5 linked regions of the Macaca fascicularis genome follow. The protein of the gene in region 3 purifies or fractionates together with the protein of the main gene of each other region. This does not show direct contact. Links are inferred from orthologs where the notes say so. Each region holds a gene or a part of one and is shown on either strand. Other genes may lie near its edges.

Region 1 (5,535 bases), on a different chromosome or scaffold from region 3:
TTCCAATCAGATCACTTCTGTCTTCCTGTCATTTTCCATTGCCATGGGGACCCAGAGCAAGTTTCTTTTTTTAGAGAGGGGGTCTCACTGTGTTGACCAGACTGGAGTGTTGTGGTGTGATCCTAGCTCACTATAGCTGTTAACTCCTGGGCTCAAGCTATCCTCCAGCCTGAGCCTCCTGAGCGGTTGAGACTATAGGGACATGCCCTCATACCTGGATAATTTTTTTTTTTTTTTTGAGACAGAGTTTTGCTCTTTTGCCCAGGTGGGAGTGCAGTGGTGTGATCTTGGCTCACTGTAACCTCCACCTCCCAGGTTCAGGCTATTCTCCTGCCTCAGCCTCCCCCATACCTGGGACTACAGCCACCTGCCACCAATGCCTGGCTAATTGTTTTCTCTTTAGTAGAGAAGGGGTTTCACCATGTTGGCCAGACTGGTCTCAAACTCCTGACCTCAAGTGAGCCGCCCACTTCGGCCTCCCAGAGTGCTGGGATTACAGGTGTGAGCCACTGCACTCAACTGTAATAACTTATTTATTTATTTATTTATTTATTTATTATTTTTTGAGACAGAGTTTCACTCTTGTTGCCCAGGCTGGAGCACAGTGGTGTGATCTCAGTTCACCACAACCTCTGTCTTCTGGGTTCAAGTGATTCCACTGCCTCAGCCTCCTGAATAGCTGGGCACATGCCACCGTGCCCAGCTAATTTTGTATTTTTAGTAGAGGTGGGGTTTCTCCATGTTGGTCAGGCTGGTCTCAAACTCCTGACTTCAGGTGGTCCGCCCACTTCAGCCTCCCAAAGTGGTGGGATTACAGGCGTGAGCCCCAGCGCCAGGCCAATAATAACTTTTCTTTTCTTTTTTTTTTTTAAAGATGGTGTCTTACTCTGTTGCCAGGCTGGAGTGCAGTGGTGCGATCTAGGCCTACTGCTACCTCCACCTCCCAGGTTCAAGTGATTCTTTTGCCTCAGCCTCCCAAGTAGCTGGGACTGTGGGACTATAGGCATGCGCCACCACACCCAGCTAATTTTTTGTATTTTTAGTAGAGATGGGGTTTCACCATGTTGGCCAGGATAGTCTCAATCTCTTGACCTCATGATCTGTCTGCCTTGGCCTCTCAAAGTGCTGGGTTTACAGATGTGAGCCACTGAGGAATTGTGTGTATAAATATAATTCTGTTGATGCCTCTTGAAGCTACAGTGCCTTTGACTCTTCCCTTTTCCTGAGTGCTGTCCAGGGGCTTTGTTGGTCATGCTCTAGACCCAAGATTTTGGCCTTTGAAAGGGTTCTGTGGCCAAGAGCATGGCCTCACAGAATGGAGCAGGGCAGTAGGCTGGAGGAGTAAACAAGTTATTTACAAATGGATCAAGGCCTACTTTGCCTCTTTCTAGCTCTTCTCTGCAGGAACTGAGCCAGAGCAAACAATAGACCTTGGAAAATCCTAGCAGGCCCATCTGGTCTAACTGTCTGGGATACTCTCACTCTAGCTAGTAACTTCCACCTTGCCCTTCCTACCAGAGATGGCCATCGAGAGAGATGCTGACTGAGGACTCCTTGGCTAATACTTTGTTTTTCCCTGGACTCTTTTACCAGGACATCAATAGCCTCAACAAACAAATTGCTCAGCTCCAGGATTTCGTGAGGGCCAAGGGCAGCCAGAGTGGCCGGCACCTGCAGACCCACTCCAACACCATTGTGGTCTCCTTGCAGGTGGGAGCTGGGGAGGAAGGGAAGGAGGCAAAGGGGAAGAATGTGGAGTCTTGTTTGGTTGACCGTCTCTCCTTTTCTTCTAGTCGAAACTGGCTTCTATGTCCAATGACTTCAAATCGGTTTTAGAAGTGAGGACTGAGGTGAGAACAATTTGCCTAGGAGGGATAGGAATATGGGGGTAAAGATCCAAGAGGAAATGGGGAAGGTACAGGTTCTACAGGGTCATGGGGCCAATGGTGGGAGTCTCATTAACATGCCTGCTTTCTAGTGGCTTCAGGTCCTTTGCGTTTTTCCCCAACCCCAGAACCTGAAGCAGCAGAGGAGCCGGAGAGAGCAGTTCTCCCGGGCACCTGTGTCAGCCCTGCCCCTTGCCCCTAACCACCTGGGTAAGTCAGAGGTAAAACGGGAAGCCCTGGGAGGTAAGGTTACTTACTCTGGTTGTGATGGCATCCTCTGAAGGCACGGGTTGGGTAGGAGAGTGGAGGGTCAAGGAAGTTTCTAGGCTCTATCTCTCAGAGGCCGAACCAGATGGTTGAGATTCGTGATCCACATTTAGACTCCCACATTCTCACTGTTGGGGTGAATTCAGTTGTATTCAGAAGAATGATAATTTCTAATTTTTTTCATACACTTACCTTTATTCACATTCTCTCATTTAATTTTCACAACCACCCTTTGAGAAAGCAACTATTATTATCCCCCATTTTACAGGTGAGGAAACTGAGGCTCAGAGAGGTTAAATGACCTGTCCAGGGTCACAAGGCTAGTAAGTGCCAGAGCTGGGATTCAAACCCAGAGCATGTGGGCTTTGAACCTGCTTTTAACTGTGAAGATGTGCCACGTCCTGTTTTCTCCCCAGGGGGTGGTGCTGTGGTTTTGGGGGCAGAGTCCCATGCCTCCAAGGATGTTGCCATCGACATGATGGACTCTCGGACCAGCCAGCAGCTGCAGCTCATTGACGAGCAGGTACCCAGGCTCTGAACTAGGGAGAATCAGCTTCTCCATTATCCTCTGTGGTTCCCAAGAGAGTGTCTGGAGTGTGCCATGGGCAGAATGGCAAGCTGGGAGGGCTGTAAAGATGCAGGTCTGACCCTGAAGAAGCTGATGGTGCTCATGTGCTCTCTCCCTCTCCTGAAGGATTCCTACATCCAGAGTCGGGCAGACACCATGCAGAACATTGAGTCGACAATTGTTGAGCTGGGCTCCATCTTTCAGCAGTTGGCACACATGGTTAAGGAACAGGAGGAAACCATTCAGAGGTGAGACATACTCTCTCACCCCAAACATAGGAGCTTTCTCTTCCCCGTAGATTGGCATCTTAAAGTCCCCAGGGACTGCTTGATGCCCTTTGGAAGACAGAGTGAATTCTGCCCACCCATGGGACCCAGTTCACCTGCTTCCGTCCACCCAACAAGTATTTATTGAGCACCTGTTCATGTGAGGCGCTGTTCCAGGTGCGGGAGATACAGCAGCAAATAGGACAGTAAAGTCTCTCTGGAGCTACTTTGTAGCATGTGTAAGTGTCTAGAATTTCATAGGGCAGATGAGGACAGCTGTGGAAAAGAACTGACAAGGCTGGCATAGTGGCTCACACCTGTAATCTCATAGGCAGCATTTGGGAGGCCGAGCAAGGCAGATCGCTTGAGTTCAGGAATTCAAGACCAGCTTGGGCAACAAAGTGAGACCCTGTCTCTACAAAAAAATACAAAAACTAGCTGGGCATGGTGGCACGGGCCTGTAGTCCCAGCTACTCAAGAGACTGAGGTGGGAGGATGGCTTGAGCCTGGGAGGCAGAAGTTGCAGTGAGCCAAGATCATGCCACTGCACTCCAGCCTAGGCGACAGAGCCAGATTCTGTGTCAAAAAATAAAAATAAAAATTGACCAACAAAATTTCAGGTAGTAATGAAAACTGTATACAGAGTTAAAGTAGGATGATGTGTTAAGAAAGTAATGGATGGGTACCGTGGCTTACACCTGTAATTCCAGCACTTTGAGAGGCCCACACAGTCACCTGAGCTAAGGAGTTCGAGACCAGCCTAGGCAACATGGTGAAACCCCATCTCTACAAAAATAAAAAAATTAGCTAGACGTGGTTGCATAGGCCTGTGGTTCCAGCTACTCGGGAGGCTGAGGTGGGAGGATGACTTAAGCATGGGAGGTTGAGGCTGCAGTGAGCCATGATGGAACCACTGCGCTCCAGCCTGAGTGACAGAGCGAGACTCCATCTCAAGAAAAAATAAGGAAGTGACTAAGGTATATCAGATTGTGTGGCAGGGAATGCTGCTCTGAAGACACCACATTTAAGTAGAGACTTGAATGACAAGAGGGATCCAGCCAGGCAAAGAAGAGAGAGTGAGTGTTCTCGGCTGAGTGGACAGCTAGAGCAAAGCCTTGTAATGGGACGGTCTAACTATACGCAAGAATCAAGAAGGCCTGCATGGCTAGAAAGTAATGAACAGGGATAGAGAAGTATAGGGTGTACTGGAGGGATGTAGGCAGAGGCCCAACAATGGGCTGGCCTCTCTGTTCCTCTGGTGTCTCCTGCTACTATAAGAGGTTTTATCTGCTCCTCCTCTGTGGTGCTTAGCATTCAGTCAGTCAGTTATGGGAAATACAGCAGTGGACAGAAGAGACAAAATCCTTGCCCTTGTGGAATGTGTATCCTAGTAGGGAGATAGATGTGAAAAAGTCATAATAAATAGTATGTTTAAAAACAAGTCATAAATGCAAAAAAAAAAAAAAAAAAAGAGTCAACACAGGATAAACTAATCAGGAGTGCCAGGTTTGGAGGGAGGTAAGCCTTATTAAGAAGGTGCATCACACTTGGGAGAAGGTGAGGAAGTTAGGTACATAGACTCTGGCAAAGACCTCCAGGTGACAATATATCTGATGAGTTAACAGACAGCAGAGACTACTGCAGCTGGGATCAGTGAGGAAGCGAGTTGTACAAGGTGTGGTCAGAGGGGAACTGGTGAGACCTCTTGGGACCATTGGTAGGCCTTAGCTTTTTTTTTTTTTTTTTTTTTTTTTTTTTTGAGACGGAGTCTCGCTATGTCGCCCAGGCTGGAGTGCAGTGGCCGGATCTCAGCTCACTGCAAGCTCCGCCTCCCGGGTTTTTACGCCATTCTCCTGCCTCAGCCTCCCGAGTAGCCGGGACTACAGGCGCCCACCACCTCGCCCGGCTAGTTTTTTGTATTTTTTAGTAGAGACGGGGTTTCACCGTGTTAGCCAGGATGGTCTCGAACTCCTGACCTTGTGATCCGCCCGTCTCGGCCTCCCAAAGTGCTGGGATTACAGGCTTGAGCCACCGCGCCCGGCCAGGCCTTAGCTTTTATTCCAAGTGACATAGGGAGCCATTGCAGGGTTTTGTTTTTGTTTCTGTTTTTGTTTCAGACAGAGCCTTGCTCTGTCGCCCAGGCCGGAATGCAGTGGCACGATCTTGGCTCACTGCAACCTCTGCCTCCTAGGTTCAAGTGATTCTCATGCCTCAGTCTCCCTAGTACCCTGGACCACAGGTGTGCACCGCCATGCCCAACTACATTTTGTATTTTTAGTAGAGACGGAGTTTTGCCATGTTGGCCAGGCTGGTCTTGAACTCCTGGCCTCAAATGACCTGTCCTTCTTGGCCCCCCAAAGTGCTGGGATTACAGGTGTGAGCCATCACAACTGGCCAAATACATTTAACTTTATTTATTTTATTTATTTATATATTTTTTATTTTTATTTTTGAGATAGAGTCTCACTCTGTTGCCAGGCTGGAGTGCAGTGTTACAGTCTCGACTCACTGCAGCCTCTGCCTCCTGGGTTCAAGCGATTCTCCTGCC
Region 2 (6,020 bases), on a different chromosome or scaffold from region 3:
AATGGCGTGAACCCGGGAGGCGGAGCTTGCAGTGAGCTGAGATCCAGCCACTGCACTCCAGCCTGGGTGGCAGAGCGAGACTCCGTCTCAAAAAAAAAAAAAAAAAAAATACAACAAGAGTGAGAAGCAGAAAAGCAAACCACAAAGGAAGTCCAGCCTAGACCCCAAATTACCTGGGAGGGCTGCTAACAGCCATGGAGACAGGTGGGGAGGGAACACAGTGACTGAGACTCCGAGACAGCAAAGCACCTCTCCAGCGAAGGCCAGTCCGAGATGCAGCCTAACTTCCTAGTTCACATCAGCAAGGTGGGCGGGTACCACCATGGGAAGGGCACCTGGGGTATAGCTGGTTACCACAGCTCAACCACATTCCCCAAAATGGAGGTCAGCCCTCCATGGCCCAGGAAAATATGGGAGATAAAGGGTTGGCACCTGCAGTGACCAGATGGAGACCCAACGCAGGCAGCTGCTACCATGCTTGGAGACCAGGGTACAAGCCCCTGACGAGCTCGCCGTGGCAGACAAGCACACTGGTGCCTGAGGAACGACAGGCGCCTGCAAAGGGACATCCGAGAAGGGGGAAGCACCAGCCCAGCTAGGTTTCAGGGCAACAGCAAAGCCCCAGAGACATGGAGGCAAGTGAGTCCACCTTGCTGGGTGAGAAGTGAGCTCGCACTGCATAGGGGAAGACGGTGGACCCCACTCCTCCAGGAGGCTGACAGCCTCAGCCAGGTACAAAGGAGGGCTCAGGTAACAAGGAAGGGGGCTATGGTGAGCGTGCATGGAGAAAGGTGGGCTTGCTGTGTGGAAGGAAGAAGGAGGGGAGGGGAAGGGTGAGCAAAGTGGGGCTGCAGGTACCAGGCTGTGGCTCATCTGTGGTCAGCCTGGAGCTCAGAGGCAGTTCTGGATTGACAGGACACACAGTGTGGCCACACAGGTTGCGGGACAGTGATCCCATAGTCCCCAGGGAATGACTGGGAGGCAGAAGATTGGAACAGCACAGAGAAGGGCACAGAGCTTTAAAGGTGTTTTTAGGCCAAGGGGGCAAGGACCTCATCTTGGGGTGGGGAAAAGCCGTTGCCCTGCCAGTCTAGTTGTTTGAACATGAGCCCAGCCCAGTGGACAGGGAAGGCCCAGGGAGAGGTGGGTAGGGAGGGTATCCTGCAGAGGCTGGGGACAAGGAGGATGGCACAGAACGCCATCACAGCCAGAGGAGTCTGGCAGGGCTTGGCAGAGGCGCCAGAGTTACCAGCAAGCTAGATGGCAACAACTGATAGCCTCTCAGGAACCTTCTTGTGTAGACCCACAATGGCTCCCCGGCCCTGCCTGCTTTGCCTGACTCTGAAATGCCAGAGAGGCCCATTTCTAGGTCTGTTCTTCTGAAAACACATCTCTGGTGCTGGGTAGATTCTGAATCCTGAGAATACAAGTTTCTGCTCCTGGATACACAGTCACAGGACCCAGAAGGATCCCACCCAGTGGCTAGGCCAAGGCTGCAGTCCACTCCTTCATCCACAACCCGTTCTCCCCAGGGGTCTCACTTCATCCGCAGGACTGGAGAGTAGGCACAGAGAACTCACAGCAGGGTGGCCCGCACTGGTCTCCTGTGCTCAGCAACCATGGCCAGGAGTAACTGCCATCTCCAGGCTGAGAAGCCTCAGTTGGAGGAGATAGCACCCACTTAGGGTTCACAGCCCCTTCCTGTGTCAGTTCCAGGAACCTTGGATCACAGACATGGCCTCATCCAGACAAGGACACGACCGTGGAGCCTTCAGATGTCAGCGTCCCAAGAGCTGGGAGAAAGGCTGCAGGCCACAGGTGGCCACGCCTGGGATTCAACAGTTGCTCTGCTCAGACCTGGCTCCTCCAGACACGCTGCGGCCCCAGCTCTGCTTGTGTCTCTAGCATCTGGGGAAGGGGGGAGGGGCTGGGCCTTGGTTTCCCCGAAAGAGTCCCTTCCACACATGGGACCAGCCAACATGAGCTCATCAGGTCACAGGCAGCCGCAGCCTCCTGCCACACAGAAAGGATTCCTGGCCCACGATTATAATTTCAAAGGAGTACTTTGCAGGTAAGTCCTCTGGAGCCCAAGATGCCAGGCAGGGAAGACAATGGCTGCCCTTGGCACCCACAGACACCAGCTCCCACTGTCTCACGTCCTTGCCCTCGACAAGAAGTAGGAGAGGATGAAGAAGGCCACAATCAGACCCACAGCCATGCCACATAGAAGCTTCCGGTTGTCTCGTCCGGACCTTGCCATTGCGGAAAAGCGCTTCACACTCCCTGTAAGCAGGCCGGTCATGCTTGTGAAATCCGAGTCCTAAGGGAAGAATCCCGGCAAGATCACACAGAAGTGGTGATTTGACCACCCACCCGCACCAGTGCTGAAGGAGACACTGCAAGCTCTGTAGCAGGTAGTGCTGGGGGCAGGGCACTGATTCGCGCACACCGTGGGCCCTTACCATGCCATCCAGGTACCGGTTCTGATCCTCTGCATCCCTATCGATGTCCAGGGCGAGCTGTTCAGCACACAGAGAGGGCAGGGTTGGGCCAGAGCAGACACATAATACAGCACTCACCCTTCCCAGACCAGACAAACCCTGCCAACAACTCTGCCAGACACAGTGGGGCAGCAGCAGGAAGGTCCAGGTGTCAGCTGGGGCCTCATGCAGGTGAGCACAGCCACGAATCGAACGAGGAGGACGGCAAACTGCCTGAAACTCCTCTGGGCCCTCTACCTTCCCTCTGATCCCCATTCCCCAAGGGCACCAGGTGGAGGTAAGAGGACAGACCACCACTGACCGATTTGAGCCTGGTGACTTTGGAGGCCAGGCTGTCGGCCATTCGCTTGTTCTCCCGGTCTAGAATCTCTTCCACAGCGCCCGGGCTCTGAGCTGAGAAAAGAGAGGGGCTGAGTGATTGCATCCATCGGGGAGCGAGGCCTCTGACCCCTCTCACTCCAACCACAACTGGGTGAGTCAGAAATCTAGGGGCCCTAACCTAGGTTCCAGCAGGTGAATCTTGCACATGTGAGAGAGACTGCATAAAGGACGATGTGTGCAAGGGCCTGTCATGTGAACACGTGTCCTGTGTACACATCCAGGTGGGGATGGGCCAGCACCCACAGTGGGTTCAGTCCAACCAGCACCTTCTGAGACTGTGTAGCAAAAACTGGGCCCAGCTCTGGGATGTTAATAAGATGTGACACTTGCATCCAGGGAGGTCGCCATCTGTGTATGTGGAGCCCATTCTTATAGAAAAAGAGTAAACTCTGCTAAGAGCATAGGAAAGACTTGGGAAAAGTACCCAGCAGGGCAGCAGAAAGGCTCCTGCAGGGACGACCTTTGAGCTGGGTCCTGAAGAGGTGGCAAGGAACCAGGACAGAACATTGGGAAGGCCCTTTACCGCACAGAAAACAGCTGAGCAAAGTTCCCAATTCCGCGAGATGGGAGCTGAGGTCGACCAGGAGCGTGATCCCTGGTCTGCATCCCACACAGGGCTTCCTGCAACACCCAGGGCACAGCGCTTGCAGAGGCCCGGCCTGTGACAGGCTGGGCCAGGTGATAAGGAATTTCTGTCACCTCAGGTGGGTGAGAACCACCTTCTCCCTAGCTTCAACGTTAAGGAAGGGATGCCAGCGTCCTTCCAACCACTTCCTGTTCATTAATTCCTTTACTCATCATAACTCAGACAGGCATCAATATCCCACTTTGCAGAGAAGAACACGGGCTCCAGGAGGGGAAATGGGGCCACCGAGGCCCAAGTTAGTTAGCAGAGGCCTGCCTGGACACCAGCGGAGCACAGCCTACTCCGAAGGCCTGGCCTCGGGACCTGTCGAATGCCGAGACTCCCGCTCACCCTGAACCCATGCAAAACGATCTCACAGGGAGCGGCGGGGAGTGGGGGGACCCCGCAGCTGCGCGAGCCCTCGCTGGAGCTGCTGGGCCGCCCCGCCCGCCGTCCTTCCTAGCGGCAGTGCTGGCCGAAACCCGGCCCTGCTGGGACCCGGAAGGATCCGAATCCGCCCCCCTGACAGGGTCCTCCCCGCCGAGGCCAGAGGCAGGCGCACGCGGCTCTACAGGCAGCGGCGTCGGTTCCGGCCCGGCCCTGCCCCCAACGGCTCCGCTCTCCCGCGCTCACCCCGAGCCCAGTCCGCCATCGTGCCCTGCCCCGGCTCCTCGACGCCAACACCGACGCGGCCACAGCCGCCTCAGACGTGGCGCAGTCACGGGGAACGGGCTTCCGGCCCCGCCCCCCGCCAGCGATGGCCCCGCCTCCGCGCCAACCACGCCCCTAGATGGCGTCGGGCTCGCTGATTTCCGGCTTAGGCCCGAGGGTGGGGAACCGCGGGGTCGCGGAAGCGATGGGCGTCGCTGTGACTTATTTTCAGCACTGTCGCCCAGGCAGTGGCGCGATCTCAGCTCACTGCAGCCCCCGCCTGCCGGGCTCCCAAGGTGCTGGGATTACAGCAGCACCGCGGATGTGACGTTTGTTTGTTGTTCCTGTGAACGTGGGGCGGGGCGGGGCCGTTTGCTTGCTCAGTGCCAAGACGATGGTGGTGGAAAGACGCTGCCATGCGTTAGGTCCTAACGGTTAGGAAGGATTCACAGGCGGGTCATGAGGGAGGAGTAGGCCCCTCGGGCAGAAGCCCGCGAGGAGCCCTGGGTGTGGAGGGGGCAAGGGTGCCTCCTCTGTCAAGTGGAGATCGGCGCCTCGCTAGTGCCTGCGAGTGCGCGCCGCGTCGAATACAGGTGTGCGGAAAGCGCTACAGGAAAGTGAAGCAGGGAAAGAGACTGGGAGGCGGCACGGGGAGTGGGGGCCGTAGACGCCTTTGCTCCCGGGCACTTGTTACAAGAGCCAGTGGACCGCGCTTCCTGTGCGTCACTGAATCCTCCTGATGGCCACTGAAACGGACACGCAGGATCTTTGCTTGTCAAGAGGGAACTGAGTCCAGGCCAGACTGCGTTGCTCCCCTTTCTCTCGGCCCCTCACGGCCCTTCCACCTTTGCAAGTGCTGCTCCTTCTGCCTGGAGTGGCTCCTCCAGTCTTTTCCCGGCTCGCTTCCCATCGTCCAGTGTTAGCAAAAACACCACTGCCTCACAGCCCTTGCAGCCCAGCAGTCACCTTTTGCTTCTTTTGAAGCACAGCCCTGTGACCGCCTCATGTCCTTTTGTTTTTCCTTGTCTGCCTTCCCCTCTGGAACATAAGCTCCACAAAGGCAGGGGCCTGGGAGTCCCGTTCGCTTGCATTCCCCAGCAAACGCCTAACGAACCCAATGGCCCGGGACTGAAAAGTCCTTTCCACTTCGGCTTTCCCGTCTACATCCCATCGGTTCTGTGGAGCTCGAGGGGCGTCACTGTGTGTGTGGCAGGGCGCGGTGGGGGCTGAGATCCTTTCCTGTTGGAAATTCCGGCCCAAGAAGCCCCGGTCACAAGGAGGGGGATCAGTCCGGTTCAGGGCGACTTGGCCCGACTCGGGTCTTCCGAGCCGCCAGTGCTGCCTCAGGCCGCGCCCCCTTGAAGCGCCACCAGACGCCGCGTCCCGTCCCGGCCTCCCCCGCGCGCTGGCGCGGGGCTTTCTGGGCCAGGGCGGGGCCGGCGAACTGCGGCCCGGAAAGGTTGAGGAAGGGCCCGTCCCGCCTTCCCCGCGCCGGGTTCCGGGGGCGCCATGGAGCCCCGGGCGGTTGCAGAAGCCGTGGAGACGGGGAAGGAGGATGTGATTATGGAAGCTCTGCGGTCGTACAACCAGGAGGTGAGCGGCCGCCTGAGGCCGGGGGGCGGGCACGGAGGGGGTGGGGCAGGGTCGTGCGCGGGTGGTCGGGACGGTGTGGGTGAGGCAGGGGTTGTGTCAGCAAGCAGAGGGGACGCGGCGGCGTGGGGGTGGCACGTCAGGGATGCAGTGTTGGGGGGAGAGTGTCTGGGGTGCACCCGTTGGGTGGCAGGTGTGTAGGGATGGGGGCGAGTGTAGACCCTGCCACCCCTTCTGAGCAGTGGCTGCTGCCTGAGTTAGAGGCCAATAGG
Region 3 (5,535 bases):
CTGGCCAACATGGCGAATCCCCATCTCTACTAAAAACACAAAACTTAGCCAGTGTGGTGGCACGCACCTGTAGTCCCAGCTATTTTGCTCAGAAGGCTGAGGCAGGAGAATCACTTGAACTTGGGAGGCAGAAGTTGCAGTGAGTTGAGATCATACCACTGCACTCTAGCCTAGGCAACAGAGCGAGACTCTGTCTAAAAACAAAACAAAAAAGATACTGCCAATAAACATTCTTATATGTATTTTTTTAACTGAGCTCTTTTTTTTTTTTTTTTTTAAGTATATTTAGGCCAGGCATGGTGGCTCACACCTGAAATCCCAGCACTTTGGGAGGCCGAGGCAGGCAGATCACGAGGTCAGGAGATGGAGACCATCCTGGCTAACACAGTGAAATCCCATCTCTACTAAAAATACAAAAAATTAGCCGGGCATGCTGGCAGGCAACTGTAGTCCCAGCTACTCAGGAGGCTAAGGCAGGAGAATGGTGTGAACCCGGGAGGTGGAGGTTGCAGTAAGCCGAGACCACGCACTGCACTCCAGCCTGGGTAACATAGTGAGACTCTGTCTGAAAAAAAAAGAAAAAAAAAGTGTATTTAAAGAGTAAATGTCTATTAAGTTCAAAAGAGCTTAAAAAAAAAAAAAAAAGGAGTAAATGCCTAGCAATAGAATAATTAGATCAGGGCTGGGCACGGTGGCTCACGCCTGTAATCCCAGCACTTTGGGAGGCTGAGCTGGGTGGATCACGAGGTCAGGAGTTTGAGATCAGCTTGACCAATATGATGTAACTCCATTGCTACTAAAAATACAAAAATTAGTCGGGCGTGATGGTGCATGCCTGTAGTTCCAGCTACTCGGGAGGCCAAGGCAGAAGAATCGCTTGAACTCGGGAGGCGGGGGCTGCAGTGAGCCGAGATTGCACCACTGTACTCCAACACTCCAGCCTGGACAACAGAACGAGACTCCATCTCAAAAAAAAAAACAATAACTGGATCAAAGAATGTTACATTCATTTACATTCTGGTAGTGCTAAACTGCCTTCTAGAAACATTACATCAATTTATGTTCCCACCAGCAATATAGGAGTGCCGTTTTTTAATTTTTATTCTTGCCAATAATGGGTTATAAATGTTTCAACATTTGCTAACCTGACAGGTGAAAAATCACCTCTTTTAGATTTCTGTATTTTTATTTGGAAATACTGCTGAAACTGTTTTTATAGTTTTGGCCACTCATTTTTTGTAAGCAATTTTACACCCTTTGTCCATTTTCCTAGTGTCTTTTTCTTATTTCTATTATTTCTCTGTGTAGTAAGCAAATTAGTCATTTGTTACAGTTTCCAGTATCAAGTCTTATTTAGAAAGTCCTTTCTGCTCAAAAGTTTATAAATTTCACCTCTGCTTTATGGTTTCTTTTTCTACACTTCTTGGATCCATTTGGAATTTGTTCTGGATGTGAGGATTGAGATAGAATTTTTTTTTTTAAATCCCTGAATAATTAGGCAATGGTTATAGTTCCATTTATTTTATAATTTCTCTTTGCCGCACTGATTTTAAACAACATCTTTATCAGAAACTAAAAATTTCCATACATAATTGGGTCTACATATAAACTCTACTCTGTTTAATTGTTCTTATTTATTTAATTATTTTTCCCTCTAGTATCAAACTGTTTCAACTATTTCAGCTTTTTAACAGGTTTTAAGATCTGGGAGAACTACAAACCCTCTACCACTTATCTTCATTTTCAAGTTGTTCTTCTTGGTTGTTCTTGTATGTCTATGATTCCAAATGAACTTTGGTATCATTCTGTCATTTGTTTTTAATTAAACAAACAACAAAACAACCCTGCTGTTTCCACTGGGATGCCATGCAATTCAGACGAAAGTCTTCCCATCCAAAAACGGACTGATTCTTTCCTTTACTTAAATCTTGTTCTATGTCCCTCAGTAGAATTTTGCACATACAAGTCCTACACATTTCTTATTTAATTCATACATAAATACTTTATAGTTTCTTCCATTATATTTTCTAACAGGTTATCATTTATTTCCTATCATAGTAGGAAAACTATTTGCTTTTATGTATTCATTTTATAATCTACCATCTTACTGAATTTAATTGTTTCTAACTTTTTATCAGGTAATTTTCCTGGGTATACTAGACATAAAATTTTATCCTGCTACCTCACAGAAATTTTGCCTCTTCCTTTCCAATATTTACAACTTTTTTTTTTTTTTTTTTTTTGAGACAGTCTCACTCTGTTGCCCAGGCTGGAGTGCAGTGGCTCAATCTCGGCTCACTGCAACCTCCACCTCCTGGGTTCAAGGGTTCAAGCTATTCTCCTGCCTCAGCCTCCCAAGTAGCTGGGATAACAGGCACCCACCACCATGCCCCGCTAATTTTTGTATTTTTAGTAGAGAAGGGGTTTCACCCTGTTGGCCAGGCTAGTCTCCAACTCCGGATCTCAAATGATCCACCCACCTCAGACTTCCAAAGTGCTGGGACAAGAGGCGTGAGCCACCATGCCCAGCCTACATTTCATTTCTTTTTACTGTCTAATTGCACCATCAAGAACTTCAAAAACAATGTTATGCATTTGTAGTGATCATGGGTATCCTTGTGTTGTTTTATTCAATGGGAATGTTTTTATTGCCTGGCTTATTTTTGTACTTTAGTAGAGACGGGGTTTCGCCATGTTGGCCAGGCTGGTCTCCAACTCCTGACCTCAGGTGATCCACTCACCTCATGCCTCCCAAAGTGCTGGGATTACAGGCATGAGCCACCGCGTCTGGCCATCTATTCCTACTTTTAAAAACAGTTTTTAAAATTAGAAATAGTTGCTGACTTTTCACAGTATTAAAAATATTTGTGGCTGGGTACAGCAGCTCATGCCTGTAATTCTAGCACTTTGGAAGGCCGAGGTGGGTAGACTGCCCACACACAGGAGTTAAGAGAACAGCCTGGGCAACATAGTAAAAACCTGTGAACAGAGGAGTTACAGACCAGCCTGAGCAACACGGCAAGGACGTGTCTCTGCTAAAAAACTTTTAAAAAATTGGCCAGGTGTGGTGGCATGTGCTTGTGGTCCCAGATGCTCAGGAGGCTGAGGTAGGAGGATTGTTTGAGCTTGGGAGGTTGAGGCCGCAGTGAGCTGTGATTGCACTACTGCACTCCAGCCTGGGTGACAGAGAGACCCTATCTCAAAAAAAAAAAAAAATTGCCTTCCTATTTGTACTACTATATTTTTAACATATCCTCCATTTAAATCTTTAAGAGTTTAGTTTTATTGGTGCATAAACATTTATTGTTTTCTCAAACAATACACTGAGTATAGTAAATAAGTCATCTTCAAAGCCAGATGAAAGCACACTCTAACCCACAATGTTACTGTCTATACATGACCATTGACTAGTTCACGGTTACAGCTAGCTAGCTAGGTCTCCCAGAATGGAAGTATATTACCCAGTGATGAATATTAGTCAACTTCGCCAGGAAATAGCAAGAGCTATTAGATATTTTCAGAATTTTATAATGGTGACCAAAAAAAAAAAAAAGTAAAACAAGTCCCTCTAGCATGGCATTTATTTTCTCAGATGTTTCTCTTTGTCATTTTAAATACATGTGCATATATCCAATGCAGAGATTAAAAAAAAAAAAAAAAACCCGAACTCCTGTGATAATGAAAATGTCTCGAGCCCAATATATTACCTGCAATATGTCTCTATGCCGCTGTAATGTATGCATCAGGGCCGCATTCAAGGAGGGGACACCTGCACTGTTGGTATATTCTGCCATTTTATCGTTTACCCCTGTAAGCTAGAAATAAAGAAAAAAAAATATTTTACTAAGCACTATAAACAGCTAAAAGCAAATTATTTGCCTATATGCCCTTTTGGTTGACAGCAAAACAAAACAAAACAAAAAACAAACAAGATATCAAGTAAGAATTAAGCATTCCCCCACATAATCCATAAAGACCAAAATAACATCGTATCACCTGAGAATGGCTGTCATCAAAATTCAAGTGGTGTGGGGAGGTACACATCTTGAATGGAATGGATAATTTCATTAAACATGTCTGTCTCAATACAATCCAGGATCCTATCTAACAAGTATACAGTTATTTGCAAAACAGCCATTTAACAAAGCACTTACCCTTGCCAAAAGTTGTTCAATCTCGATCGCCATTGTCTCAAACATTCTGTCTTGGCTTGATCCATTTAAAAGAGGTGTTGTATCAGAACTAAAAAGAAGTTCAGTTAAAGAGGATCCATTACTCAAATGCAGTCCTTTAAAACATACTTAAAATAATAAGGTAATTAATATGAACCATAAAATGAATTATGGATTATGTTATATAGGGTCTGTGAGAAACAATCTTTTACATTTTTACCTCAAAGGAATTATGGTTCCTTCAACCTCAACTTTAAGTTCTCTCTTCTTTCCTTGACTCTTACCAAGAGGAAATAAGATTGAGGTTTAAATGATCCACAGATTGGATAACTAGCTAACGAATACTCAGGAACTGGCTTTACATTCAATATATACAGCCACCTGCATACTTTGGTACTAATCTTCTACATTTCCACTTACAGTATGCAGTCATCTTTTTGTTTCGTAGAATTGTGTTAAATTGCCTTTTCAAATCTGAATGGTCAAAAATCTATCTTTTTATAAGTGAAACTTATGTTTGACAGATTCAAATTCTAAACCCACCTGTCCTGAGTGTTTCTTTTGCCTTTTCTAAAACACCACTAACTTTCATCAGGTTAGGTATGTATTAGCATCCAATGAGCAGCTCAATACAGATCGGAGTTATACTGGACACAGATAAATGCCCAGGCAATGACTATGCGCTCCAATCTTACTGAAGACTTTGTCCTACCCTGTGACAGTGCCTGGGTGTGGCAAATGAAAAAGATTAAAAAATGCTCTGTAGACTACTAATATAAATCCTCCTCTACCAGATATATGAAAAAGAACAATATGCCAATAGAATTAAAGCTTCATGAAGGGAGGAAAAAACTGCTCTGTCTTATTCATTGATATATGCCTAGCACCTAGTATAGAGCCAGGCACATAGTAGATGCTCACTAAATGTTTGTTGAATGAATGAATGAGAGAGCAATCTCTACTACTGGTTATTCCATACTCCTTATATTCATATATTCATCAGGACAGTGTAAGACTAAAGGGAAATGGCCAAAAACTAATTCTTCACAATACTAGGATTCAGTTAAATTTAATTCATCTTATAGGTGGGTAATGAATGATTCATAGACCTTGAAGTTTTCAAAATACAGAAAGTTAAAAAAAAAAAAAAAAAGAAAGGAAGATTCCTGGAATAAATAATATTCTAGTTATTGCTTAGTTGACTCATTGTGACATGCTTCCAACCTGGGCATCAAACAAGACACTTTAGAATACACATCAAATCTTGATCCTCATGGCCTTAGATTTTTATTTAAAAGGGTAGTTAGGCTGAAGTAATTCTACAAAGCCAGTTTCAGTTTGTGGTAGAATTTCTTAGGAAATG
Region 4 (6,118 bases), on a different chromosome or scaffold from region 3:
GTTGACTTAAATGATCCCCTTGGGGCCAATGCCCAATCAATAGCTAAATCTTACCAATTCTATCACCAAGGAAACCTCTCCTATCGTTTCCTTTCTCTTCATGTTCACAGCCCTAACTGGTATCTCTGATTCCAGTCTCTCTCCCTTTGAATTCAACTCACACTTTCCTAAAGAATTAAATCCAAGCCCCTTAGCTTAGCATTTAACGTCCTTCATGTTTGGGCCCCAATTTACCTTTCAGTCCTTTTTTTCCCACTACTTTCTGGAATCCACCACTCTAGCCAAATTAAATTACTCTTCTAGATATACCCTATGCTTCCCCACTATGATGCCTGTTCATTTTATTCCCTCCTGGAATGCTCTTCTCTTTACCTTCAAAGGTCCAAATCTTTCCATCCTCTTTCCAGACATAACTCAAATGCCATAATGCCTTCTCAATTAAAAACAATCTCTCTCTCCCCAGAATACCTTCATGTTATTTATATGTCTTTTATAGCACCAATCCCTTTTAACTTTATATTTTGCTTATGTACTCTGCAGGTTCTCTGTTGAAAGATCCATGCCAGTTCTTACACTTACTACATACTCAAATAAATGTATGTTGAAGGCTAGGCGTGGTGGCTCACATGTGTAATCCTGGCCTATTGGGAGGCCAAGGTGGGTGGATCACTTGAGAACAGGAGTTCAGGACCAGCCTGGACAACATGGTGAAACTCCATCTCTACAAAAAATATAAAAATTAGCCAGGCATGGGCCAGGCGCAGTGGCTCATGCCTGTATTCCCAGCACTTTGGGAGGCCAAGGCAGGTGAATCACGAGGTCAGGAGATCGAGACCATCCTGGCTAATACGGTGAAACCCCGTCTCCACTAAAAATACAAAAAATTGGCCGGGCGCGGTGGCTCAAGCCTGTAATCCCAGCACTTTGGGAGGCTGAGATGGGCGGATCGCGAGGTCAGGAGATCGAGACCATCTTGGCTAACACGGTGAAACCCCGTCTCCCAGCTACTTGGGAGGCTGAGGCAGGAGAATGTAGTCCCAGCTACTTGGGAGGCTGAGGCAAGAGAATGGCATAAACCCGGGAGGCGGAGCATGCAGTGAGCTGAGAACCGGCCACTGCACTCCAGCCTGGGCGACAGAGCGAGACTCCGTCTCAAAAAAAAAAAAAAAAAAAAAACAAAAAATTAGCCGGGCGTGGTGGTGGGCGCCTGTAGTCCCAGCTACTCAGGAGGCTGAGGCAGGAGAATGGTGTGAACCCAGGAGGCGGGGCTTGCAGTGAGCGGAGATTGAGCCACTGCACTCCAGCCTGGGCGACACAGCAAGACTCCATCTCAAAAGAAAAAAAAAAAAAATTAGCCGGGCATGGTGGTGCACACCTGTAGTCCCAGCTACTTGTAGGGCTGAGGCAGGAGGACTGCTTGAGCCAGGGAAGTTGAGGCTGCAGTGAGCTGAGATCATGCCACTGCACTCCAGCCTGGGTGACAGAGTGAGACCCTGTCTCAAAACAAAAATTTAAATGTAAATTTAAAAATGTATGTCGGATCTACATTTGGGAGTATTCTGGTTTTATATATATATATATATATATATCAGCATGTATATAATATTCATTCAACATGTATCCATCTATCCATCTTCATGTGTATATTATATATTAAATATAATATTATATATGATATATATAATATTGAATACAAGTTGAATGAATATTTTGCAAATAGATATTAAAATCAGATTTAGCTTCAACAAGAAAATTTCAGCCTTGAACTAGAATTTTCTGATCTAACCTGTATTACAGCTCCTTCACAAAAGGAAACTGGTACAAAAAGTACTACACTTTCTAACCAGTGGTCATATTATTTTTTTTTAGTTCTGGATTTTAAGAGGTCACATACCCTTCCTTTCACTTCCAGAGTCTCAACTGCTTTTGATCAGAAACTTCTCAAATTCTACAATATACATTTAGATTTAAAAGCAAAGTGAGCCTGGGCAACATAGTGAGACCCCATCCCTACAAAAAATTTAAAAATTAGCCTGGCATGGTAGATGCATCCTTGTAGTCCTCGCGACTCAGCAAGCTGATCAGGAATTCAAAGTTATAGCCAGCTAGGATCGTTCTACTTCACTCAGATCACTGCACTCTGCCTGGGTGACAGAGCTAGACTCCGTCTCTTAAAAACAAATTTAAAATATTTAATTTTTTAAAATTAAAAAAATTAGGCTGGGCACAGTGGCTCACGCCTGTAATCCCAGCACTTTGGGAGGCTGAGGTGGGAGAAGTGCTTGTGCCCAGGGGTTTGAGACCAGCCTGGCCAACACAGCAAGACTTCATCTCTACAAAAAAGAAAAATTTTTTAAAGTTTAAAAACTAAAGCAAAGTGATATTATTTAAAATACAGAATTGTAATTCAGGACTAACTAGTTCTACCTATTAACAGAGTACACCAAGCTCACAAAACACAATAATAAACAATAAGGATGATGACCACCATTCTTTCCAAGTAAAGCTGTTGCTGATCTCCTGTTTATAAGGCTCCAAGATGATTTTCAAGCCCAAGAAACACCCTGTATTTGACTCATTCAGCTATAGTTTCACTCAGACCCTAATGGGGAGGAGGGAGTTTTAAGACAAGCAATACCATTCTGAATTCCACCAACAACTCTACCATGCATTACTTGCTCTGTGGTTGTGGCTAAGTCTCTTAGCTTCCCTGTGTACCAGATTTGTTCAAGAGCAGCTAAGTAGGGAAGGAAAACAAAAGCCTCATCTGCCTGAAATCCAAAAATACACCCCAATGCTTTGTTACAAAAGACAAAATAATGTAAGTTGAAATGTTGCTGGTGAATTATCTTTATTAAAACAGAAGTCATCCCACCTCTCAAATACCAGTCATTGTGTCTGATTTCCGAATTCATTACAGGAAGAACTGTGTATGAAGTCATCCAAACACATGCACTCTCCACTTCCCTTAATTGAAAGTTGCTGATTTCCGAGGAGCCAGGGGCTGAGCAGAATGTAAACCTAAAGCCTAAATCAGTAAACAACCCCATCCAAACTGGCCTAAGAGGAAAGCGAGGTGGGTGGGGAGGAAGGTGGATGACAGGAGAAACTCGGCTGACCACTGCGCCAAGTCAACGCACTCACAGCTCTCGAGATGACACACACTCCCCTTCCCACCCTCGGGCTGTTTTGGTCCCAGCACCGTGGGGGCAGAACTCCAGAGAAGCAGCTCAAGCTTCAGCTGGGGCCGGGGACCCTCGGGCAGCCCGGGCCTGACAGACTGGGGGAGGCAAGCCCACCGCCCCCAGGGTGGACAGCCCGAGACAGCCCCAGGTGTGGCCTCGGCCGTAGTCCCAGCCGGGCTCCGCGACCCGGCAGTCTCACCCAGGCCTGTCCCGGGGACAGCTCCCGCCCCCCAGCTCGGTACCCCGGCTCACTGGCTTGGCTGATCCGCTGGATGTTGCCGCTGCACGTCTGGATGATGCTGCTGAAGTCCCGGAGCTGGGGCCCTGAGGGCCCCAGGTTCCGGTACATATCTAAGGGACCGTATGACATGACGAGGAGCTGAGACCTGCTCGCCCTACACCACTCTCCTACCGGAAGCAGCCGCCAGCCGGGACCCGCAGGCTGACGGAGAAACTGGGAAGACCAAGGGCGGGGAAGAAGCTAAGGCTGCGTGCGCACTAGTCCCGCCCCCACGCAGCGCGCACGCGTCCTCCCCGCCCCTGTTCAAAGTGCGCAGGCGCCGCTGGGACTGGGGCTGGGACTGTATCTTAGAGACAGGACTGCCCGGGGCTTGGGGGTTGCGGGGCGGAGAGATGACGTCACCTAGTTGGGGCTGAGATTGGATGAGCTTGGGTGGAGGTGTTGTTTCTCGCCAGGGCACATTGACAAGAGGCAAGAATTTTCGATTTGCATAAAACTGTACCAGATGATCTCAGCCCTTACATCCTATTCTGTTTTGAGAATTCAGGCCCAAATATGGGAGTATTCAACGTTGAAACTCAGACCAGGAACCAAATCGTAACCCGAAATTCCTCTCTACTTCCATCCCCAGGGTTTTGGTAGTATTTGGGGTTTCCAAACCGCTTTCATTTCTCCCTCCACCCCTCTTCTAATCTAAACAATAAAATAATAATGTTTATTAAGCACATATTATGTGTGAATCCTCACCGCAATTCACTTGTTCATAAGATTTTTCACAGCAAGGGACGATGCTCTATCTACATTTTTATCATTAGAATAGATAACGGAGAGCCGGTTTTTTAAATATTGAAGTAAAGTAACTCATCAATGTTAGCATTATTATTTTCCCTATTACCGATGAGAAAATTAAGACCAGCGAGGTTACTTCGCCTTGCTGAAGTTTGACTGCAAAAGCCAAACGCTAAGCTGACTCTCTCCTCACCTCGCTACTTCTCTAAAATTCATTCTCATCGAAATCTCTCCCAAATAGCTCGTTCATCTATATCCCAAGCCGGGATTTCTTGGAGAACTAGATTCCTAAAATTTAAAAATCATACCCTTAAATACTTTGGAATGCATGACCTCAATTTTCCTACAGAAGACTGCATTTCTGTAAGCGTATGTTAAAAGGAAAGACATAGGATTTTGGTTTGGGAGGAGATCAAGATGGTGAGAAGTGAAGGGGAACTGGCTGTTTCCTGTGTTCTCCACCCCACCCCAGCCTGCTTTGCAGTCTTTGGAAAATGCAAAGACGGAAAGCTGCTTGCCTGGGTGAAAGGAGACCCCAAGTGAATGAGCCTGTATATGGCCTTAGGGTTTTTTCTTTATTTTATTTTATTTTTTTTGAGACAGGGTTTCGCTCTGTCACACAGGTTGGAGTGCAGTGGCATGATCTCCGCTCACTGCAACCTCCTTCTCCTGGGCTCAAGAGATCCTCCTACCTCAGCCTCCAAGTAGTTGGGACTACAGGCGTGCGCCACCACGCCCAGCTAATTTTTATATTTTTTGTAGTGATGGGGTTTGGCCATGTTGTCCAGGCTGGTCTCGAACTCCTGGGCTCAAGTGATCACCACCAGCCTTAGGATTTTTTAAGGGTGGCTATCTCTATTTTTCGTTGGAGAATTTGAGAGCATTTTTTTCCCTCTCTCTAGAAAGAGATGGATGACATCTGGGGGCTCTTGTTTTGGTTATTTTATTTTATTTTTGAAATGGAGTCTTGCTGTGTTGCCCAGGCTGGAGTCGAATGGCGCAGTCTTGGCTCACTGCAATTTCTGCCTCCTGAGTTCAAGCAATTCTCCTGCCTCAGCCTCCCGAGTAGCTGGGATTACAGGCATGCACCACCACAGCCCGGCTAATTTTTGTATTTTCAGTAGAGATGGGGTTTCACCATGTTGGTCAGGCTGGTCTTGAATTCCTGACCTCAGGTGATCCACCCGCCTTGGCCTCCCAAAGTGTTGGGATTACAGGTGTGAGCCACCGCACCAGCCTGTTTTGGTTATTATTATACAACCTTACTGTTTCTTAGAATCTGTAGTTTTATGTCAAATCTTATAGCAAGTCATGTAAATTGCACTTTTTAACCTATATGATAGTCCTGATAATTTTTAAATTTACATTTCACACTAAAGTGAAGTTCAGTAAAGGTATTTTTCTTTTTTTTTTTTTTTTTTTTTTTTTTTGAGACGGAGTCTTGCTCTGTCGCCCAGGCTGGAGTGCAGTGGCCAGATCTCAGCTCACTGCAAGCTCCGCCTCCCGGGTTCACGCCATTCTCCTGCCTCAGCCTCCCAAGTAGCTGGGACTACAGGCGCCCGCCACCTCGCCCGGCTAGTTTTTTGTACTTTTTAGTAGAGACGGGGTTTCACCGTATTAACCAGGATGGTCTCGATCTCCTGACCTCGTGATCCGCCTGTCTCGGCCTCCCAGAGTGCTGGGATTATAGGCTTGAGCCACCGCGCCCGGCCAGGTATTTTTCTTATAGGAATTAAAAATATTGTTTTCTTTCTCCATGTACAATAAAAATCGTTTTAAGGCTGGGTGCGGTGGCTCACTACTGGAATCCCAGCACTTTGGGAGGCTGAGGCAGGCTGATTGTTGCTTGAGCTCGGGAGTTCAAGACCAGCCTGAGCAAAATGGCGAAAGCATGTCTCTACCA
Region 5 (5,998 bases), on a different chromosome or scaffold from region 3:
CCCACTTACCATGTGGCTGGGCAAGTAAGTCAACTTCTCTAAGCCCCCAAGTTTCTCTACCTCCACGGGGATTTTGTGAGGACTAAATCCATACCATCTATCAGCAGGTTGAGCCTGGCCCAGGCCTGGGTCCGAGTCAGAGCGAGCACTTAATAACCTGCATCTGCTAGTATTACCGGCAATGCAACAGCCTCCTGCCGTCACTCTCCCCCACACCAGCTGCTGCAGTCCTTTCTAGAAGGCAAACAGCAGCTCTCCAGGATGGGCCTCCCTTAGCCTCCTCGGAGCTCTTCAGTGCCTCCTCCAGGCCCAGCCCTTGCTCACCAGGCCTTCCTAGTCTGGCCTCACCTGCCGCTTCCACCTTTATGGTCTAACGTGTAACTCCCTGTGTTCCATCTTCCTAAGGCATACTCCATCATAACCCCTGCCTGGAGTGCTGCTCCCTGCCAGAGAGCACCCAGAACTCCTGTTCATCCCCCTGGGGTTGGGGCCTCTCCCCCAGGAAGCCATTTCTGATCCGTGTGGATCTCAGTTCCCTGTCTTTCCAGGCAGAACTTCCCCTCATGCTAGATCTCTGTTGCACCATCCCTGCTGCCTAGAGCACCCTCCCTGGCCCCACTCCCCAGCAAGTCCTGTGGTTCCTTGGGACCTAGCTCACTCCTCACCATGAGCTTCCCCCTGGTTCACACTGCTTCCTCTGAGCTCAGACAGTCACAGGAATGATATAATCGAGCCCTTCCTTACAGTAGGTAATTCCACTTTACTAGCATTTGCTGTGCATCCTGCCTTCCCAACCAGGTAGCAAGTGCCTTGGGGCTGACTTAGCTGCTCCCTCCAAGCACACAGTCCAACAGCCCACTAATCCCTGGGCCAAAGGGACCAGACACCCAGAGCCACCTAGGAAAACTATCACCAAAAATCCAGCTCGTGGCCCCACCCCCAAACACAGCACCTGAACTTCTCCCCTTGTGAAGAAAAAGAAAACACACACACACCCTCTGTCTCCTCGCAGCCTCTAAAATAAAATATTTTTCACCTAATCAATACAGTCCATCAGCCCCAGATGTTTCTCCACACCAGGCAATTCACCATCATGTTCTTCAAGTTCTTTTGCTAAACATTATCCAACCTCAAACAAGGGGCGTGGCCCAGAGCCCTTTTCCTGTTCCTTCCTCTCTTGGAAAGATCCCTCCCCTTTGTGTCTTACCGGCCTCTGCCAGGCTCCTACCCCAGTCTCTTCCCATCCCCAGGCCCTCCTCCCAAACCCCCTTCTCCAGCCTTCTGCAGACACTCCCAGTCCCACCAACTTCCCCAGGCTCTGCTTCTGAGGGGCCACCACAGACCGTTCTCTCTACAAGTCCACTAGTCCTTTCCCAGTCCTCCCCTCAGTTTCCACAGCCTCCCCTTGACCTTTTCGGGTCCCCCCATCAGCACAGATCCCACCCCCCCCACACACCACCACCCCCTGCCAAACTCCCTTTACTTCCTCTGCCCAGAGCCTCATGCTCCTCTCAACCCTACTAAGTCTTCGTGGCTCCCTTTACTGCTCCCTTTCAGCTCCTCTTAGCACACCCATGTTTCTGTCTCTCCCTCTCCTGACCCCTCCCAGACCTCTCCTCTCGGGCGCCCACCTTGAACCCCATCAGCTCTCTGCACACTCCAAACCTGCTTCCTTCTGGGAAGTCCATTAACAATAGCTAACACTCTCAGAGATGTAACTCCACGCCAGGCTCAATTCTAACACTCACAGCAAATGGGAGGCAGGTTAGATTTGTGATCTCCTTTAACAGGGAGACTAAACCATTTACCCAAAGTCATGAAGTAAGTGGCAGAGCCACATTTCAAACCTGGGCTCTTAATACTTTTAAGCCACTAAAATTATCACAGGATGGTGGTGTCAGCTTTTAGGAGCTACCGTGAGTTTTATGCCATGTCACATGCGTTAGTTCTGTCTCCCAAGCCTTTTCCCATCCCTCTTCTCAGCATGTTCCTGTCATCCCCATTACTCGAGGATCACACAGCAGGAATTTGATCCCCAGTTTTGATTCTCTCAGTCCCCGTCTCTCCCTGTTATCCCTCCATCTCCTTGGCCAAGCCACCACCACGCGTTCCCCCACCCAGGAGTCTCCGGCCTCAACCCAGGCCTCCTCAGGTTTTTTTCTTTCCTTTTTTTTTTTTTTTTTTGAAACGGAGTCCCACTCAGTTGCCAGGCTGTAGTGCAGTGCAGAGGCGTGATCTCGGCTCACTGCAACCTCCGCCTCCTGGGTTCAAGTGATTCTCCTGCCCCAGCCTCCCGAGTAGCTGGGATTACAGGCACCCGCCACCAGGCCCAGCTAATTTTTGTATTTTTAGTAGAGACGGGGTTTCACCATGTTGGTCAGGCTGGTCTCGAACTCCCGGCCTCAGATGATCTACTCACCTCGGCCTCCCAAAGGGCTGAGACCGCCACAGTCTTGACTCCATCATCCCGGTTCCTCTGCTCAGCTGTCCTTAAACTAGTCACTGCTAACCAGGGCCGTACTCACCCCAGGCACCCCCCACACTTCAGACGCAGCTCACTGCTCCTAGGATCATCTAAGCCCTGAGCCCCTCCAAAGGTGTCAGCCCCCTTCAGCCTTCACCCTCACTGCCCAGGGCCCACGCAAATCCACTGCCCCGGGGGATGAAAAGGTCAGTCCCTCGGGCAGGCGTCCTCAGCCCCAGGCCCCATCACTGCCGCCCGAGAGCCTTCACATTCCCCTAGAGCTCTGAAAAGCCTCCGGACCTGGCTTATCTCGCGGACTCCCTCCCTGCCCCCAAGCCGGTCCCCTCCAAGGCTTCAGGACGTATTCCCTCGGTTCAGGTTCTCCCCCTCCCGCTGGCCTGTCTTCGGCCTGGGTCCCCTTCCTCGCCTCAAGACAGGGTCGCCTCTGTCCATGTGTCCTCAGCCCAAATCCCTTCCGCCATGTCAGACCGTCTCTCCTCAAACCGTGTTGCCCCGGCCCAGGCTCTTGGCCCTCAGCCTGTGTAGCCTCTGCCGCTTCAGGCCAAGTCACCTCATTCCAGGTTCCTCTCCGTCCCCTCGGCCCGAGCTCTGCGTGCCCTAACCCGCCACCTCCGACCGTGACTCCTTCGTCCTCTCAGCCTAGGTCCCGGCCGACCCCTCAGCCCGGTTCTCACCCAAAGAGGCCAGAGAAGAAGGACTGCGAGTTCTTCACTTTGCGCTCCGCCTCGGCCAACAGCGCCATCGCCTCCGCTTCTTTCCCGGAATTGTCCATGGCGGCCACAAAAGGACTCAGCAAAGCGCCCGACACTGGCCCTGGGAAGACTCAGCCGCGGCCGGGCCGCGGAACACAGATCGGGAGAAGTCGCCCGGCTGCGTTGACGTCGCACCGGCGCGCGGCGCCTGCGGCCCGGAATCACGTGACTCGCGCTGGCCAACCAGAGGCCTCGTAGCGCGGCGCCCGCTCCGCCGGCCACGCCCCCACCAGCCGCCGCAAGCCGCCCGTGACTCGGGACCCCCCAATCGGCGTCCCGAGACCTCAACGCATGCGCACACACAGGACAACGACGCCCCACTTTCTCCTCAGCGCTCTGTACCTCACCTCCCACGTGACCCTGCGGAAGGCAATGGCAATACTCACCGCCGAGGCCCCGCCCCACGGTGTTGCCGCTGGATCCTCCTCCACCAATCAGCAGCAGCCCTCGGCTCGCGTTGTTAGGGGGGCCACCCCGCGCCCTCCCTGAAGTACTCCGGCAGAGTCAGCTGACCGCGGACACTCACGTGACAACTCGGGGCCCAAGCCCGGGTTTGACAGTTCTGCGCAGAGCTTAGTCCCGCCCCACGGCTGGTCTCGCCCGTTTCTTCACTTGGAAAAGCGTTTGTGGGAAAAGGAAACCGTTCTGCTTTTTCTTGCTCCCTCTACCGGCCAGTACTGGAACTGCTTTGGGGAGACCGGTGAAGTAGTTGAGAGACTGGAAACAAAAACTTAAGAGGTTCTCTAACTCTGGTTTCATAAAAAATAGATGAAGAGGGCCGGGCGTGGTGGCTCACGCCTGTAATCCCAGCACTTTAGGAGGCCGAGGCGGGCGGCTCACCTGAGGTCATGAGTTTGAGACCAGCCCGGCCAACATGGCGAAACCCCGCTCTACTAAAATACAAATATTAGCCGGGTGTGGTGGCTCACGCCCGTAATCCCAGCTACTCGGGAGTCTGAGGGAGGAGAATCGCTTGAACCGAGGAGGTGGAGGTTGCAGTGGGCCGAGATCGTGCCACTGCACTTCAGCCTGGGTGACAGAGTGAGACTTAGGAAAAAAAAAAAGCTGAAGACAGCGTGTTAAAAAATTCCGATTCGAAGATGGGCGCGGTGTCTGGTGCCTGTAATCCCAGCTACTCGGGAGGCGGAGGCGGGAGGATCGCTTGGGCCCAGGAGTTTGAGTCCGGTTCAAGTCCCGCCTTGGGCAGCATAGCAAGACTCTGTCTCTAAAAAAAAAAAAAAGTTCAGATTCAAACACACCTCCTGCTGCCCCAGAAAATTGAGTAGTTGGTTTTTGAGACAGGTCTCACTCTTTGGGTTGTTGGTTTTGGAGACAGGGTCTCACTCTGTCGCCCAGGCTGGAGTGCGGCAGCACAATCATAGCTCACCGCAGTATCACTTTGTAGTGCCAGAGAGGAAGGAAGTATTCCACACGTGTGCTCACACACAAAATTAGGGGGTATGCCAGGGTGCCAACTGAAAGAGCTCCCAATGGCCAAAGCTGGAACAATTTGAGCAGCAAAATAAAGTAGTATTGCGTTATAATCCCAAATATAAAGTATCCATGAGCCTGTGGTCATAAAGATGAATAGAGAAAAATAAAGGGGGGAGAATAGACAAATAGTTTGTGCAGAAGAATTCCAAATAATCTGTGTAGATACTCTGCTCTCAAGAAGGTGAAGGATACCTCCCCATTCTGTAAGTATGGACTGTGCATAGTGACATCCTTTCAAAGAGGAGGGTGCAGGAAAGGGGAGAAAAAGACTAAATTTACAGTGGAGAAACCAGACTTTGACATCCAGGTTGTTGGGTTAACCTCAACATTGATAAGTCATGTGATTAAAATGGCTCTTTACTTCTGGGATCTTTCAATCTAATCATGAAAAAAACACTAGACAAATTCCCATTGAACCACATCCTCCAAAACACTTGCCTAGTACTCCTCAAAACTGTTGGTGGGCGCAGTGTGTCACCTGTAGTCCCAGTACTTTGGGAGGCCAAGGCAGGAGGATCACTTGAGGCCAGGAGTTCGAGACCAGCCTGTCCAACATGGCGAAACCCTGTCTCTACTGAAAATACAAAAAACTTGGCTGGGTGTGGTGGTACATGCCTGTAATCACAGCTACTTGGGAGGCTGAGGCAGGAGGATCACTTGTACCCGGGAGGCGGAGGTTGCAGTGAGCTGAGATCACCTCATTGCACTCCAGCCTGGGCAACAAGAGGGAGACTCAGTCTCAAACAAGTAACACTGTCAAGTCATCAAAACAAGGAAAGTCTGAGAATCCGTCACAGCCCAGGATACATGGATGCTAAATGTAATGTCTTACCTTGGGTGGGATCCTGGGACAGAAGGGCATTAGGTTAAAAAAAACCAAGGAAATCGGCCGGGCGCAGTGGCTCATGCCTGTAATCCCACTTTGAGAGGCTGAGGCGGGTGGATCACCTGAGGTCAGGAGTTCGTGAGCTGCCTGGCTTTCGAGAGCAGCCTGGCTAACATGGCAAAACCCCATCTCTACTAAAAATACAAACATTAGCTGGGCATGGTGGCGGGCACCTATAGTCCCAGCTACTCGGGAGGCTGAAGCAGAAGAATTGCTTGAACCCGGGAGGCGGAGGTTGTGGTGAGCCAAGATTGTGCCACTGTGCTACAGCCTGGGCAATAGAGTGAGACTCCATCTCAAAACAAACAAAAAACACTAAGGAAAGCTACATAAACTATGAAGTTTAGTTAATAATATTGTGCCATATTAGTTCATTCATGG

Evidence for each region.
Region 1: the proteins of GOSR1 (region 3) and STX5 purify together in Homo sapiens (affinity purification with western blotting; 3 studies listed by BioGRID, with this or other methods). This does not show direct contact. The link is inferred for Macaca fascicularis from reciprocal best matches to the Homo sapiens genes GOSR1 and STX5.
Region 2: the proteins of GOSR1 (region 3) and BET1L purify together in Homo sapiens (affinity purification with western blotting; 3 studies listed by BioGRID and IntAct, with this or other methods). This does not show direct contact. The link is inferred for Macaca fascicularis from reciprocal best matches to the Homo sapiens genes GOSR1 and BET1L.
Region 4: the proteins of GOSR1 (region 3) and STX12 purify together in Homo sapiens (affinity purification with mass spectrometry; 3 studies listed by BioGRID and IntAct, counting the BioPlex papers as one, with this or other methods). This does not show direct contact. The link is inferred for Macaca fascicularis from reciprocal best matches to the Homo sapiens genes GOSR1 and STX12.
Region 5: the proteins of GOSR1 (region 3) and NAPA purify together in Homo sapiens (affinity purification with mass spectrometry; 3 studies listed by BioGRID and IntAct, with this or other methods). This does not show direct contact. The link is inferred for Macaca fascicularis from reciprocal best matches to the Homo sapiens genes GOSR1 and NAPA.

The regions. Positions count from the first base shown.
Region 1 is NC_088388.1:11,223,177-11,228,711, forward strand, and holds part of STX5 (syntaxin-5), read left to right. Parts: intron 1-1,593; coding exon 1,594-1,710; intron 1,711-1,793; coding exon 1,794-1,850; intron 1,851-2,014; coding exon 2,015-2,096; intron 2,097-2,569; coding exon 2,570-2,676; intron 2,677-2,847; coding exon 2,848-2,969; intron 2,970-5,535. UniProt on the Homo sapiens protein: Mediates endoplasmic reticulum to Golgi transport.
Region 2 is NC_088388.1:84,396-90,415, forward strand, and holds the start of BET1L (BET1-like protein), read right to left. Parts: upstream 4,237-6,020; 5' UTR 4,160-4,236; coding exon 4,141-4,159; intron 2,895-4,140; coding exon 2,803-2,894; intron 2,520-2,802; coding exon 2,463-2,519; intron 2,321-2,462; coding exon 2,153-2,320; 3' UTR 1-2,152. Other genes in the region: RIC8A (chaperone Ric-8A), read left to right, coding at 5,668-5,751. UniProt on the Homo sapiens protein: Vesicle SNARE required for targeting and fusion of retrograde transport vesicles with the Golgi complex. Required for the integrity of the Golgi complex.
Region 3 is NC_088390.1:36,006,661-36,012,195, reverse strand, and holds part of GOSR1 (Golgi SNAP receptor complex member 1), read right to left. Parts: intron 4,243-5,535; coding exon 4,155-4,242; intron 3,816-4,154; coding exon 3,708-3,815; intron 1-3,707. UniProt on the Homo sapiens protein: Involved in transport from the ER to the Golgi apparatus as well as in intra-Golgi transport. It belongs to a super-family of proteins called t-SNAREs or soluble NSF (N-ethylmaleimide-sensitive factor) attachment protein receptor.
Region 4 is NC_088375.1:207,289,624-207,295,741, forward strand, and holds the start of STX12 (syntaxin-12), read right to left. Parts: upstream 3,669-6,118; 5' UTR 3,556-3,668; coding exon 3,438-3,555; intron 1-3,437. UniProt on the Homo sapiens protein: SNARE promoting fusion of transport vesicles with target membranes. Together with SNARE STX6, promotes movement of vesicles from endosomes to the cell membrane, and may therefore function in the endocytic recycling pathway.
Region 5 is NC_088393.1:55,533,074-55,539,071, forward strand, and holds the start of NAPA (alpha-soluble NSF attachment protein), read right to left. Parts: upstream 3,388-5,998; 5' UTR 3,258-3,387; coding exon 3,160-3,257; intron 1-3,159. UniProt on the Homo sapiens protein: Required for vesicular transport between the endoplasmic reticulum and the Golgi apparatus. Together with GNA12 promotes CDH5 localization to plasma membrane.